2 linked regions of the Oreochromis niloticus genome follow. The protein of the gene in region 1 interacts with the protein of each later gene in a pairwise test. Links are inferred from orthologs where the notes say so. Each region holds a gene or a part of one and is shown in the gene's direction. Other genes may lie near its edges.

What was found.
Region 2: the proteins of aamp (region 1) and apoptosis-enhancing nuclease interact in binary tests that used the Homo sapiens proteins (3 or more experiments, as listed by UniProt). The link is inferred for Oreochromis niloticus from reciprocal best matches to the Homo sapiens genes AAMP and AEN.

Annotation. Positions count from the first base shown.
Region 1 is NC_031986.2:14,259,644-14,266,877, forward strand, and holds the start of aamp (angio-associated migratory cell protein), read left to right. Parts: upstream 1-3,994; 5' UTR 3,995-4,217; coding exon 4,218-4,308; intron 4,309-4,411; coding exon 4,412-4,555; intron 4,556-4,652; coding exon 4,653-4,772; intron 4,773-5,580; coding exon 5,581-5,720; intron 5,721-6,090; coding exon 6,091-6,235; intron 6,236-7,128; coding exon 7,129-7,212; intron 7,213-7,234. UniProt on the Homo sapiens protein: Plays a role in angiogenesis and cell migration. In smooth muscle cell migration, may act through the RhoA pathway.
Region 2 is NC_031972.2:43,593,029-43,600,645, forward strand, and holds the start of apoptosis-enhancing nuclease, read left to right. Parts: upstream 1-4,582; 5' UTR 4,583-4,733; intron 4,734-6,352; 5' UTR 6,353-6,382; coding exon 6,383-7,024; intron 7,025-7,617. Other genes in the region: pdia3 (protein disulfide-isomerase A3), read left to right, coding at 1-140, 858-966, 1,977-2,105, 2,337-2,416, 2,861-2,918, 2,999-3,109. UniProt on the Homo sapiens protein: Exonuclease with activity against single- and double-stranded DNA and RNA. Mediates p53-induced apoptosis.

The DNA of each region.
Region 1 (7,234 bases):
AAGCGGGAGCATGAAGCAAACTGTGTGTCCGGCAATTCACATAGCCGGTTGCTTTCCACCGCTGGTGACGTTTCACCTTGAAACCACAACCAAATATCCTGCCCCCCGGCGAACAGGAGCTAGTGGAAAATCTGTCCGTAACCTCCAAACATGTCCTAGTAGCGGCGAGAACACAGGCAAGGCTGCAGAAAGTTTCTTTGCAGCTTATGATTGATGTTTCAGTGAACATCCTGAGACTGCATCACATGTTTTTTTGAGGTCATGTGCTATTTCCTGTTGCTCCTGACCAAAGACTGCATAAACAGTCTAGCAGTAAGCCTGTATATCCACCATCCCAGACTTTATTCAGTTGTATTGTCAGTATTTTCATTTAAGGACCACATGGGATTGAGAAGCTGCTAAGCCTCAAAGAATTTCTACCTGCTCTGTTAAAAGGGGAAAAAAATCAGCAGTTGCCATATTTTGGTATGAGAATGCGTTAATTTGATTACACTGGAAAATATCAGCTCTTGGAAGAGCATTTGCATCATCCTTCCAAAAACAGATGTCAAGCAGCTGCAGTAAAAATGTCCAAAAATGGGATTCATATTCCCAATTTAATCTGACAGCGTTAGAAGCTGCGCATAACCAAAAATTATGCACGTAGGAGCCGAATGAAGTTCTTTTTATTGGCCTGACAGGCCGAAAAAAGAAAAGAGAAAACAGCAGAAATGGATTAGAGAAATAAAGAGGCTGCGACCGGCGTTGTAACTAATGTCATCGAACTTTCCAGGGAGAGAAAGCCTCTTCCAGCCTTAGTCATAACCCAACGGAGAGTTTATAAATCTCTCGCCTGCTGCAGATTTAAAATGTCTAAATAACGTACACCCTGATATTTCCACATCTCGCCACTGCATCATGAGACGGCTGTATTTTTCCAGGCGAAAGCTTGAACACGGAGGGCGCGAGCAGCCAGTAAAACTTATTTGGGCATGCAGTTGCCGAGTCCTGCCAGCAGCATATAGCAAAAGACATAAAACTCCAACCGAAAACCTGATGTAGACAAACTGTGCTAAGTGTTCATAAAATATCTCCAGCCAGGGAATGTTTGACGGAGAGATTAAGGAAGGCAGAGTGGAGCTCTTTTTAAAATGGAGGGCAGCCCTGCTTCGAATGCTTTCCCTGTAGCGTTACTGCATTCTGACATATGCCTTCTGTTTTAATCACAGATAGAAAAATGAGCTTCCGATCATTCCCAAAGCGCACGGAGGTCAGAGGTCAGGCTCAGCTTACGTGAAGCTGATGGGAATTGGGCCTTGTACTTCTTCTCTATGGCACTCCTTTTTAGGTTTGAAGGCTCAAAAGCAGGGAAGCCAATCTCATTTTACATAGTAGGCCACATATAACCCACCTTGATCTTAAGTGGGCTGAACTGGTGAAACTGCCCTTTCAGTCAGTGTAAAGAGATTTAACTACACATTAAATGCCAGAGATGTCTTAATATAGGAAAAGGAAGTGTAATTTCAACAGCATGTCTCAGTTTTTCCACACGATAAAGAAATGTTGCTTCAGTTAATGAAAGAAATCTGTCAGCACGACTCTTTGGGTATACATTGTAAGAAATAAACGTGTAAAATTACAGAAACAGTTCTAGTATCTCACTGCCCAGACTGTCCTGTAATTATAAAATAGAAAGTTTTATTAATTTATAGTCCTAATATTTCCTTTTCTTCTTATTGTTACTGTACTGTTGAAACATTGTGAAAAAGCAGAAACTTTAACTGTAATTAAATGATTAATCTATTACTTAATTACTTTGGTACAGTATGAATGATCGGGGGTGGGGGGTCTTTATTACCTGTAAAAGTCTTAAAATGCATTTAAAAGTCAAAAATTTACACCCTCCTTCATATTTTCTAAAGCTATCCAATCAGCCAGACTGGAGTCTTTGCCAGACTGATTCTGGCCCCCGGGCCTTATGTTTGATACCTATGCTCAAGAACATAGTTCCTGCTGGGTGATCAGAGGGAACATGTTATCTTCAGCTTTAAAACTCCTGCTGTTACAGCCTCACTGAAATAACCCTGAGCAGTGCCCTTTACTGTGCAGCATAATCCAGCCTAATACAGTCACATTGTGTGTCATAAAACATAAACCTAATTATGATTAGCCAACAGTCAACACTGTTTTATGGAAACTCCAACTCTGTCAGAATATCATAGAAACACATATAAATGAAGGCTAAAACTCCCAGTCTGCATCAGTTTCACTGGACAACACCACAGTAAAATGTACTACCACAACAATAACAATAACATCACAAATTAATTTTCCGGCAAACCAAAATCTTGCTTCACCTCCTGAACCTGTAATAACAGGAGCATGAATTACAGTTTTGTGACCCTGCGTCAAGTGTTTCACTAGAAGGCAAACTGAGGTTTAATCATGCAGGGAAATAAGTGAAAGGACAATCAGTCAGGGCTGATTATACAGCTACAATGAGGAATACGCCACTGCGATGTTTTAGGTGGACACCGAAGATTGTCCTTGTAAGGATGTTTAACTTTCATGTTTCTTATGGAAAAATTCTAAAATGTGTAAAATATCAAATGTGCCGTTGATAAAAATTAAGAATGGGAATTACTTGTGTTACAACAGGATCACAATATTTAGTGGCAAGTTATTCTGTGATACTCTATACATTATAAGACAGCAGCATTATCTGTGTAACAGGGAAAATGACACTTGTAAAATGGGAAAAAAAGAAAATATGTATTAAGTTACTGCATTGTGATATTAGTGTGCTTACTTTATCATCATAACACAGTTTTAATATTGTATGTTACTTAATATGGTGTCAGTACAATTAATCAGTTCTCTAAATCACTTTCATTTTTTTTTTCTACTATAACTCAGTTCACTTTACTTTCTTTCTCCAAAATGAGTCATGAAGTTCTAATTCTATTTAGCCAAACTGGTGATATTTGGCATATCAATAAGTTATAACAAGAAGGATCCATGTAATATATTGCTGTATGGATATTTTGTCCCACCCCTACTGGTATTGCTAAAGACAGACAGTAATAAGGACATAACTGAGCAGCTAATACAATAAGTGAAAAGAACAAAATGAATAAACAGATTCACAGACAAGCATAATCTAGAAAACAGTAAATAATTATTTCTAAAGGTTTAGGCTGATTAATTTGTTTTATGTACACAAATATCTTTTTGTGGACTTTCCATTTGGGATTATCTAGTTTTAACATAAACCACTTAATACTCTTAATGCAGTGCATGTTAGTTAGTTAAACATATAACAGGTAACCACTGTGTTTCATTAGTGCGTATTAACTGCTTGTTTATACACTTTAAAATAGCTTATGCTTGTTACCCATCTATTTGTATGTTTTTTTAAATGGAGATTTGATTTTAATATGACTAGAATATACTTGGATAGTAAAATAATATTTGTAGTTAGTATTACTGTCAAATATTGGTCATATTTTCTTCTTTGAAACTGACAAATCATGATTAGTGCTTCGAATGTGGTTCAAATTATTATAAGGCCTACTGCTGCTGCTAATACTGATGCGACTACTAGTAGATATTTTAAATAAAATCTATGTGAGAATTTTAAAACAGTAAAATCGGTAGAAATATAAGATTAACTGACCTAATTTTGGGTCTACAGACTTTTTAATCATTTATTTTCAATAAACTGCTATTAATACAGTGTGTAGTGTCCCCATGACCATTAAAATTATTTGATTTTATCCATAGAAAATTAAGTAAAAACTAAACTAAACATAACTGTACAAATAAGTCTTCTCAGACATTTCAAGATGCCCACAGGGACTTTACTATACACTTACTCGTATTAAATTACTAATTTAAATTTTGCTAATCCTGCCGTTCAGCCAGTATTTTCCCGGGACGTTGTCGTAATTTTGCCAATGGCGCCATCTTTCGGATCATATAGTAAATGACGCTTTATCCGAGCGACTGTCCTACGTCATAACTATGCGCCAGTCTCTCTAGTCTCGACAACGTGACGAAAACATGGGGAGTCAGTTTTCCTTCTGACAGATAGTTTCTTCTTTCTGAGGTCCTCGCGCCACTTAAACCGACATTTGAGAGTCAGAGTGTCATTTTGAAGCTTGCTGGGAGCTGCAGAGCGCGAGGCCGTTCAAACGTCACGTGAACCGAGCTTTTTTTGCGGTTGTTTTGCTAGCAGCATGGATAACTCCGAGGAAAGTGCCATTGAGCTCCACGGGGATGAGGAAATTATTGAAGTCATCGACCTGAACGACACGGAGCCTGGCCCAGGTGGGTCTCGGCAGCACCTGTTCCGTCTCCTCTCCCGTGACAGGCGGGGCAATAGCAGAGATAGATCAGGTGACCGTCATGGGCTGTGCTCTTTCTCTCGCAGATGATTTGGCTGATGACTTGGAGGACGTCGACTTCGATGACGCGGGAAACGCAGGTGATGACAATGACGGCTGGGAGACTGAGGACGAGATGGAGGCTGAGGCAGAGCAGGACGACAGCGATCTCACCTTCTCCAAACACACCGGTGAAAACCTCCCTCGTGTCTCTGCTGCTGCTGCTCTCTGATTACTCCTGGCTGCTTAAGGTTTAAAAAGGTCTGACCCCCTTTTTTTTCTTCCCAGGCTCGGTGTTCTGTGTGAGTTTGGACCCAGCGACCAACAACTTGGCTGTGAGCGGAGGGGAGGATGATAAGGCCTATGTTTGGAGGGTGAGCGATGGGGAAGTTCTGCTGGAGTGCGCAGGTGAGTGTAGAGATCAGAGATGATCACATAAAGCTTTTTACCATGGCAATTAAAACATAAGCACCAGCACAGCATGGTTAAAAGAACAAAATGTGTGAGAGTTTAGTTACAGTTTGATTTGGCTTCGTTTGTGGATGCAGGCGGGGAGCAAACATGGGTGTCTTTACAAAAACCCTTCCTTTCCTGCTTTTCCAGACTTAAACACAATCCTGGTATTCTCAAATAAAACAAAAACAAAATAAAATAACAACCCCCCCCCGGGTAATTAGCATTTCCAATTACTCTGGGAAATAGGCATCATAGCAGATGCTAACAAGGGTGGGAGAAAAAATTGATACAGCACAGTATCGCAATTCTTTTTTTTTTTTTTTTGTATCAATTTGGGCTTGGCTGTGGCTCAGAAGGGTGAACAGGTTCTGTATGTCCAAGCTTCCTTAGTCAAGATGCTGAACTCGAAACTGCTGCTGGTGCATCCATCAGAGTGTGAGTGAAGGCAAATCCTCAGAGGCAGACTAAAGCTCTGTATGAATGTGTATGTGAATGGCTCAATGTGGCTTTGTGTGCTCTTTTGGAGTAAAAACGCACTAGTGCATTTATTTGCATAGGCCTGAGCACTGTGTTGACATCAGCCATGTGTGAAATGTGTCCACACGAGTATTTTCAGATTGTTTACATAAAGCTGTGGACACACTGTGATGTCTCAAATGGGCAGGAAAATGGCCAAGTGTCTTTTCTGTCGACCTCAAGCAAAATGGGAAAAAAATCATCATGTTCATTAAGCTGCTCTTTGCCCTCTGATCCTACACAGGTCACAAAGACTCAGTGACGTGTGCCATGTTCAGCCATGACTCCTCCCTGGTGGCGTCCGGAGACATGAGCGGCTTGATTAAAGTCTGGAAAGTAGAAACTAAAGAGGAGATCTGGTCCTTTGAAGTGGGAGATCTGGAGGTAAGGGTATGACTCTGTGTGTGTCTGTGTGTGTGTGTGTGTGTGTGTGTGTGTGTGTGTGTCTGTGTGTGCGCGCACCTCTGTGGGCTATGAGAGTGCTGAAAGAATTTATAAGGACTAAAGAGAAGATGATTGCTCTGACTGAGAATCTGTGTGAGTTGCTCTTTTCTCAAATTGTACAACCTACAGTGATTATAAAGTCCAGTAACTTGCCACTACAAACAAATGCAGTGGAGGAAAGTGTGTGTGTGTGTGTGTGTGTGTGTGTGTGTGTGTGTGTGTGTGTGTGTGTGTGTGTGTGTGTGTGTGTGTGTGTGTGTGTGTGTGTGTGTGTGTGTGTGTGTGTAATAGCTGTTGCTTTCTATCTCAGTGGTTAGAGTGGCATCCCTGTGCTCCTGTGCTGCTGGCGGGAACGAATGATGGCAGCGTGTGGATGTGGAAGATCCCCGCAGGAGACTGTAAAACCTTCCAGAGTCCTGCCTGTCAGGCCACCAGCGGCAAAATCCTCCCTGATGGTGAGAGATGGGATACAAAAAGTCACCCCAAACAGTACCCCCAAAACCTCCCCACTTTTAACCACCTACAGTTAGAAAATTCTGTGTGAAAGCAGCTCTTGCCGTTATTTTGTATGCTATAATTTTATGGATGTGGTTTTAAATGGATAAAACTGTCATTTTGTGCACTGTTTTACCTTTAATGCTCCTCAGTTCTCAAAAGTCATGTAGTATTAGGGCTGTGCGATATGACCAAAATTTCATATCCCGATATAAGGCATTTATCGTCCCAACAACGATGTATAATAACAAAAATTTTACATTTTCTGTAAATTCTGTGAATCTCGGGCAACTCAACTTGCCTGAAGTGCTTTCAGCTGGGCGCCGTGCGTTACATAAGTTGAAATGGCCTCAATTTTCTTTGTGAGTATTTATTACACGGCGTGCTGCGGGGAAAAGCCTGTTCTAAGCTTTATTTATTTTTTTTACCACCTGACGGCTCTTTTTAGCTTCTCATGCGTAAACACTCTGCATTCTATTTCACTTGATTCAGTTTATTTTGAAAAATCTCAACAGGATCTTCAGCTTTATTGTGAAAGGTTTATGTGGAAAATAAACATGCGGACTGCGGAGCCACGCGATGGTTTTACCGTCGTTGTTGCTAATGACAACGCATAAAAACAATCGCTTGTCCGTCTGTAGTGTGGCTATATTAGATATAAGAGGAAGAGAGAACTTAAGGAAATTATACAGTGACCATCAAAACGATGAAAAAATATTGCCCTAAACAGTTGATTTTGCGACACCACGAAACAAACGATAGCGTAATATGAAACGATAGACGTTTTCATATCATCATCTGATATATATCGTTATATCGAACAGCCCTATGTAATATATATTTTCTCTTCCAGGTAAACGGGCTGTGGTGGGTTATGAGGATGGAACAGTACGCGTGTGGGACTTGAAGCAGGGAAATGCTATCCACGTCATTAAAGGTGGGTCTGACACATAGTTTCT
Region 2 (7,617 bases), on another chromosome or scaffold:
AAGCTGAACTTTGCTGTAGCTAACAAGAACATGTTCAACCACGAGTTGTCTGAGTTTGGCCTGAATCCCAGTGGCGAACTGCCTGTGGTGGCCATCCGCACCGCCAAAGGAGACAAATACACCATGACTGAGGAGTTCTCGTAAGTCCAGGGCAACTTTTCACCACAATTCCCCACCAGTGCACACACACATCACATCACAAGTTGCTAGTTGGATTTAGTAGAACCCTTGCTACATGGAGTATAACTCTAAACAGTATAGCTTCGTGATGGTGTGGCAACACTGTATAAAAACTGGACACCAAATATTGATATGTTATGAAATAAATGGAATAATCTGGGAATATAATGAACAAGAGCGCTCATCTCATGCACCACCATCCTGAGATGATGTTAGCTGAGCAGACTTGGCTTAAATTGGCTCGACTGAAAGCATCCAACATTGAACACAGTTTGCTTTGATGATTTATCACAGTTGTATTATCAGAAACTGACTGCATGTAATTGCCAATTTGACCCCCATTCAGTTACAGATAGTAGTATTTGGGGACTGCATTTAAGCTCTGTCTCATTTTGCAGCATATCTGAAGTAAGAAATTGACCTTATTGGATAAAATGGATATTGACAAAGATTAAAATTGTAATTTGTTGTTGAGAAAAGTATTTATTGCAAAACTTGCCTTATATCAAAATGTATAAATGTGGTGGTCTTGTATCGTGTAGTGTCTGATTGCCACCTCTGTTGCCTAAGAAACTAATCAGTAGATGAGGAACTTACTAAAAGAACAGTGCCTAGTTAATGACTTCCACCTCAAGGAGAATCGTGACTTTACTGACTCGTTGAATCTCTTTCAACAGTCGTGATGGAAAAGCTCTGGAGCGTTTCTTGCAGGACTACTTTGATGGCAAGCTGAAGCGCTATCTCAAATCAGAACCCATCCCAGAGAACAACGATGGACCTGTTAAGGTGAGATCAATTTCTCCTGACACTTGTAAGATTTGTACTAAACATTTTCTTTGTGTATCATGGACATGATTTATGCTTTTAAATATACATTAAGCCTAAAGGGGGCCTAGAATCATTTACAGCTGCGAGTGTTTATTCTCTGCCTCGGCTGGAGTAGCTTTGCTTGATTCATTTAAGAAATAATCGTCATGCTGAGGTTTAGTGCAGTTGCCTAGTTCATCCAGTCTCTGAAGTGAACTGCCTTTAAGTCAACTTTCTTTTTAGAGGCTACATCTTATTTGAAAGATTTCAACAGCGGATGGGTTAAGCTCTGTGCTTAACATGCTATAATAAGTAAATTGCCTCTGTCATACATATTCAGAACAGGAAACCGTATTTCCTGAGACCAGCAGTCTTGGGAAAAAGTGAGCTGACAAACAAACACTGATGCCAAACGATGAATAAATGCAGCGTGAGGATGTGCAATTATCCTGGATACTCTGCTTAATTCAGTGACAGCGCATAATCACAACTCGTATAATCAGTCTACAACACACACCCCCACCCCCTTCCCTTCACACTCTCGCCTCATGTTTTGACAGCTTTAATGGAGATTAAGTTTTACTGTTGCCTAGGACTAGAGATAAAGCCTAAGGCCGTTTGTCCACTGCAGGAGCTATCGGGCAGTTAAATTATTCCTAATAGTGGAACCCAGCACTCTGGATTGGGAACAGCAGAACAAATTGGAAAGATGGTTAAAGAATAGTTTAAATGGATCAGTGAGAGACTGCGATGCTGGTGGGGTACAAAAGTAGTGAATCAGAGGTCAAAAACTTTCAGAAACCAGAAAGATCATTCAGTTCATTTGGAAGCAATGATTTCATCATCTTACCTCATCTGGGTTACTGAGTATGCATCAGCACATTAGTAGAAACAGACAATAGCCTTTGAGTGGAGGAAGTTCTGGGTACTTCAGGTGGAAAAATGGCTGCAGTACAGAACCGGCTCTAATACCTGCAATGTCTCTTCAGGTTGTGGTGGCTGAGAACTTCGACTCCATCGTTAACGATGACAGCAAAGACGTGCTGATTGAATTCTACGCTCCGTGGTGCGGGCACTGCAAAAGCCTGGAGCCCAAATACACAGAGCTGGGAGAGAAGGTGAGGGAGCGATCCTGACCTGCTGCTTGTTCAGATCTTGCACATTAAAACAATAACACGTTCTTAATTAACTTATCCAGAACGTGGCTTTAAGTCATGTGACCTCCAGGTTTAGCTTGCTCTTCTTCTGGCCTGCATCACCCAGCCTGTAGACTAGTCTAACGTGTGGATGTTAAGGTTTAGTGAACTGTCTTGCAAAAACTTAACAATTTGCCCTGTTTGTTTCTAAAGCTGGCCGATGATCCCAACGTCGTCATTGCCAAGATGGATGCCACAGCCAATGATGTGCCATCTCCATATGAAGTCAGCGGGTGAGTGCTGAGTCATTTAATGTGACGATAAGGCCTGGACTGTTTTTATTTTAATTAAAATGAAGCTTTATGGTTCGCCCCCCCTGTATGTGACATTAGAGTGAATTTAAAGACCATATGTGTCTGCCATGGTGACAGAGCATACAGTATGTTCCCTTCAACATAACTTGGAGACTGTTCCTGTATTCCCTCGAGTGATAAGTGTTAAACAGAGCCTGCCTTGGGCTACATATCTTCATCACAGATAAAAGGGGGGGAAAAGCTGAACATTGCACATGAAACAGCAGACATCCTGAAGCGTAATTACAGACTGTGATTATGATTAGCTGTGAGCTATGTAAGAAGCTTGACTTTGGGAAAGGTGAAGGAACTCAGGTTAACATGCATGCACCTGTGCAGTTTGATACATGAAATCATAATCTTTGTCCTCAACCTCTGTTCTAGATTCCCTACAATCTACTTTTCTCCAGCTGGACGCAAGTTGAGCCCAAAGAAATATGAGGTGAGTGTCTGCTAAAGTGCCGTTCACAGCAGCAAAGTGATATCTGTGCTTTGCTGATGAACCCTCTGCTTTCGCTGCAGGGAGGTCGCGAGGTGAGCGACTTCCTCTCCTACCTGAAGAGGGAGGCCTCAAACCCGCTGGTGATGCAGGAGGAGCCCAAGAAAAAGAAGAAGAAGAAGTCAGAGCTATAAAAGCTCCAAACAGGAACTCAGCAGCACCCCTCCCTACCTCCACCACCACAACAGGAGGATTGGGGAAGAAAAAGAACTAAATTATATTCCTCTCTTAGTGAACTACCGAATGGTCTGAAGTCAAAGACGTGGCCCTTCCTTTAGGTCCTCGTTGTGCTGGGAATGCTGTGGAAGGTGGAGAGGTTTTGGCCAGGGTCTGCCCAATATTTCAAAACCAATTTTTAGGGAAGATGGGATGACTTTTTAAAACATGAGATTTCTATTTCCCCTGGTCTGTCTACTACACCTCAGGCTGATGCACTTTGGTTTGATACAGCCTGTCATCTGTCGCTTTAGTTTCTTGTTGTTGTCATCAAAGGGGATCACGGTAATGGTGAAATTTTCTTTCTTTTTTTTTTTCTTTTTTTTTTTTTTTTGTAACATGCCTTTGATTTTGTACATTTGGAAGGATTGTGAAATAAAAAGGCCCACAAAACCAAAATGAACTCTGAAGTCTTTTCTATATCAACTCAAACGCTTGTTTGACACACACTTAGACATAGATGATCATTTTAATTGGAAATTAATATTTGGTGGCTAAATGTGAACAAGTGATGTATCTGTAGTGAAACTGAGACTTAAGCAGGCTTTTGTGGTGTTGTGTGGTTTTTTTTTTTTTTTTTTTTTTTTTTTTTTTTTTTTTTGGGGGGGGGGGTTTTGAAGATGTAAAACCTAATTTGAGTTATTTGGTTATATTTACCTTAAATATCACTAAACCAGCCTGCCTTGGGCTGGAGAAAGTTATCCCTATCACAAAATACTATAAATATAAGCCAAATAATCGGTGCATCTACATCATTTTTCTGATATTTACTGAACTGTAGCTTTTTTTCGGGGGGGATACAGTTCACATGTTGGAAATCTAGATGTTAACCTTGATTAGATGGAAGCTAAAATTGAGATGGATTCCAAACTCCATCACAAAGGGGGAAAATGCCACCACATTTTGTAAAGGGGGACATTTATAGTCCTACAGTTAATAATGTGGGATTCACATGAGATTTATTTCAGATTTAGTACCTCTCCACTGAGTGCAAAGAAAGGGAGGTGTTTTGTTAATGGGACATTTCCAAACCCTTAGTCTATATTACAGGTAGCTAATGCTAAAATCTGTAGTCTTTTTTTCATGTGTTTTTGGCAGCGGTCTGAATAACGGACCGTGTATAATATACAAGATAAGATCACTTTATCGTCTCCAGTAGGAGATCAGAGAGCAGCTACAGTCCCATAAAAAACTGATATAATGTTGCTGCAAATACCAAAAACCCAGAGTATCTGGAGGAAATGAAGACACTGATGGATTCTCAGACTTTTCTTGTGTATTTATTTTTTTTTAAATATTTGTCACGCTTACATGTTTTACATCATCAAACAAAGTCTAATATTAGACAAAGACATTATTGGACAAAGCATAATGCTGGTTTTAAATGGGAATTTCATTGGGTACGCACCCAACCAATAGGCGGCGACTCCGCAAGTGAGTTTGTCTGAGAAAACTAAAGAAGAAGAGATTGAGCCAATGGGATTAAAGAGTAGAGGAGATTTGTCCGGGCATGTTCAGACCCTACACGTGCTGCTTCAGAAGGTAACGTAAGATTTTTTTCCTCTTTTTTCTCAATTCATTTCCCTTCTTGTGTTTGTCAGCGTTCAGAAATACGTCGTTTATGCTGTAATGTATCTCAAGGGGCGTTGTGTCTTATTTTTAACGGCTCGCTGGGTTTGTTTTTTTTATAATCAAACTGAGAGACAAACTGTTTAAATACGTGGAATTTCCAGCTGAATTTAGTCGCATGCAAATTCTTCGTACATGAGCTTCGTTTTTTTTCTGAAATGTTGCCGGCTAGTGTTTGATTTCAAAAGTGCCTAGCGCGTTTTTGTAAACAACTTTAAGCTTTTACAATCTATCAAGGCCTCGCCATATCCTGATCATCCAGGCGGGTGATGTTTGGATGATGGGTGTTTTGTATATACAGCCTGAATTGTATGCTGGATCCATTATTTATCCAGTTCATGACTAACATGAAGACTAGCGAGGAAAAGGTTTTTAAACTTTAACTTGACACCGCCATCACATTTATGCCACTAAGAAGAGTCAAACTCTGCACTTATGGACTGTTTGTAATGTGTTACTGTCAGGTATGTGGCCCTTAAAGGCACCCGTATGTATGGCCACGTGTCAAGATTATTGTGGCTGGAGAATTACGATGTTCAGGTGGTATCAAATACGTTAGTCTCAAACTTTTTTGCTTTACTGTCTTCATAGTGCATGAAGTAAAAATCGGGGCTATACCAAAGTGATTTACTTTCGCATTAGCTAAAATTCACTTTCAGGTGTACCAAAATGCGACTATGCAGGGACAGTCCTCTTTGGGTGTTTTTCCAATCCTAAAAACATCAAGAATTCCTCAGACTGTTTGCAAAACATCGATACAGCCTATGGGTCTGAAAAGCGAAGCAAGTGCGCAAAGTGCCTTACATTTGCATTTATTAATTCATTCATCCCTTATGTGATCTGGTCCATTTAGGGATCACCACATCTCCCTTCATTTCACCCTATTCCTTGGATCCTCTTTTATCACCCCAGCCCCTTTCTCTGCATGTCCTGTTTCACTACATAATTAATCTACTCTGTGGTCTTTCTCTTTTCCTCCTGCCTTGCAGCTTCATCTTCTCCAAGATATCCACTCTCCTGCTCATGCTCAAACCATCATGTTCAAAGTCTCTAGTTTCAGGTCATTCCAGATGAAATTTGAATTTCTGGTTATTGTATTAGTATTAGGAATTGCACTGGGTGTGGTCTGGCCTTAGCCAATCATTTCCTCCCAAGATGGTGCTTGTGATTCCACCAGACCTGCTTCATGTCACTGGTTCTATTGATGCTGTGTAAAAAGCAGATAAAGAGGGAAGCCGAGCAAAGGATGGAACTAACCTCATGTGAAACATGCTGTTAATAGAATAATCCTTTAATTGTCCCACAAGGGGAAATCTGGTAGGTAATTTGTGCCTGGTGTATTCCTCAGGTTATCCAGGATATGCTATCCGGCTAACGACTTGTCAGTCCCCATGTACTGTGCATTGTACAGGAATAGTTCATTAACAATATTTAAAATCATTTTCACGTCATCTCAATAATCTGCAGTTCATGATGAGCCACATTTTTAAATAATGGTGATCACTATCCTGACTTTTGTGTTATTTCCTCAGACATGACTGTGAAAACTGTTTCACGAATCAATGATGGCGGAGTCATCAAACAGGAGAAAAGCCTCCTCACGAGGTCTTCTCAGCAATTATCGGTATCTGTGTAAAAAAGCCATGGTGCTCTGCGCCATGGAGAATGCAAGAGCCAGGAAGAGGCATCAGGAAAAGAGGATAATCGCCAACATGAAGATGAAAAGGACGGCCGCCCACCATGAATCACTTGATACAAGCGTATTGATCAAAAGGTCTAAAATGAGCGCTCCGGACCAGGAAAATCAAAGCACTTTGAACTCTGAAAGCACTGATCTATCCAAACATGCATCAGGGTCTGGAACAGCTAACCACCACTCTGTGATTGCGGCCCTTGGAGACCGCTGGGAGATGGACAGTGGCTTCTCCTCTGAAGCCAGTCCTCCAGCCAGCGGTCGAAGTTCGCCGTGTTTCAGCTCCTGCCCGACCACAGTGGTGGCGTTGGACTGTGAGATGGTGGGGACAGGGCCTGGAGGACGTTGTAGCGAGCTGGCCCGTTGCAGCATCCTGGACTATCATGGGAACGTACTGTATGATAAATACGTGAAACCATGTCAGCCTGTCACAGACTTCAGGACTCGCTGGAGCGGCATCCGAAGGCATCATCTCCTCAACGCCACACCCTTCGTTCAAGCCAGAGAAGAGGTACGTCTGAGTGTTTGTAGACAACGGTGATGAAAGATTTAACCTGGGCTCTAAATAGAGACTGCTCTCCTGGAATAATCTGGTGGATTGAGGATGTGAATATGTATCCCAAAAAAAAAGGGGGGGGGGAGGGGGGGGTGTAAGGAAGAAAAACTTCAGTTTAATCATCTTAGGAGAGACTGTCATTATGAGGGGGGGGGGGGGGAAATGTATATCAGACTTTTGTTCTATCATGTGCCCGACTTTAGTTTTTATTTGAAGAAAGTGGAATCCTTACTTTAAATTTTTATCCCTCAGCCGATAACTTTGGTGTTATCGTCACCCCCTGGCAGTGCGATAGGGTGATGCTCAAATGAACACAATAGGTGCATTAACTAAAAATCTTGGCCATCCCTTTTTTCTTTTTTCTTCCTTTTTTTTGTGTAGTAGCAGGTTAAAACTGTAAGCATGCTTGGTCTTGCTCTTTATTTGTCTATTTTAACATGTTGACTGCATGAGGATACGTTCATGGTTGAAGCCAATTAGGGCTGCAGGGCTTTGTCGCAATAATCAGTGACATTGTCTATTAAAATTTACAGCGTAAATGTGGAAAT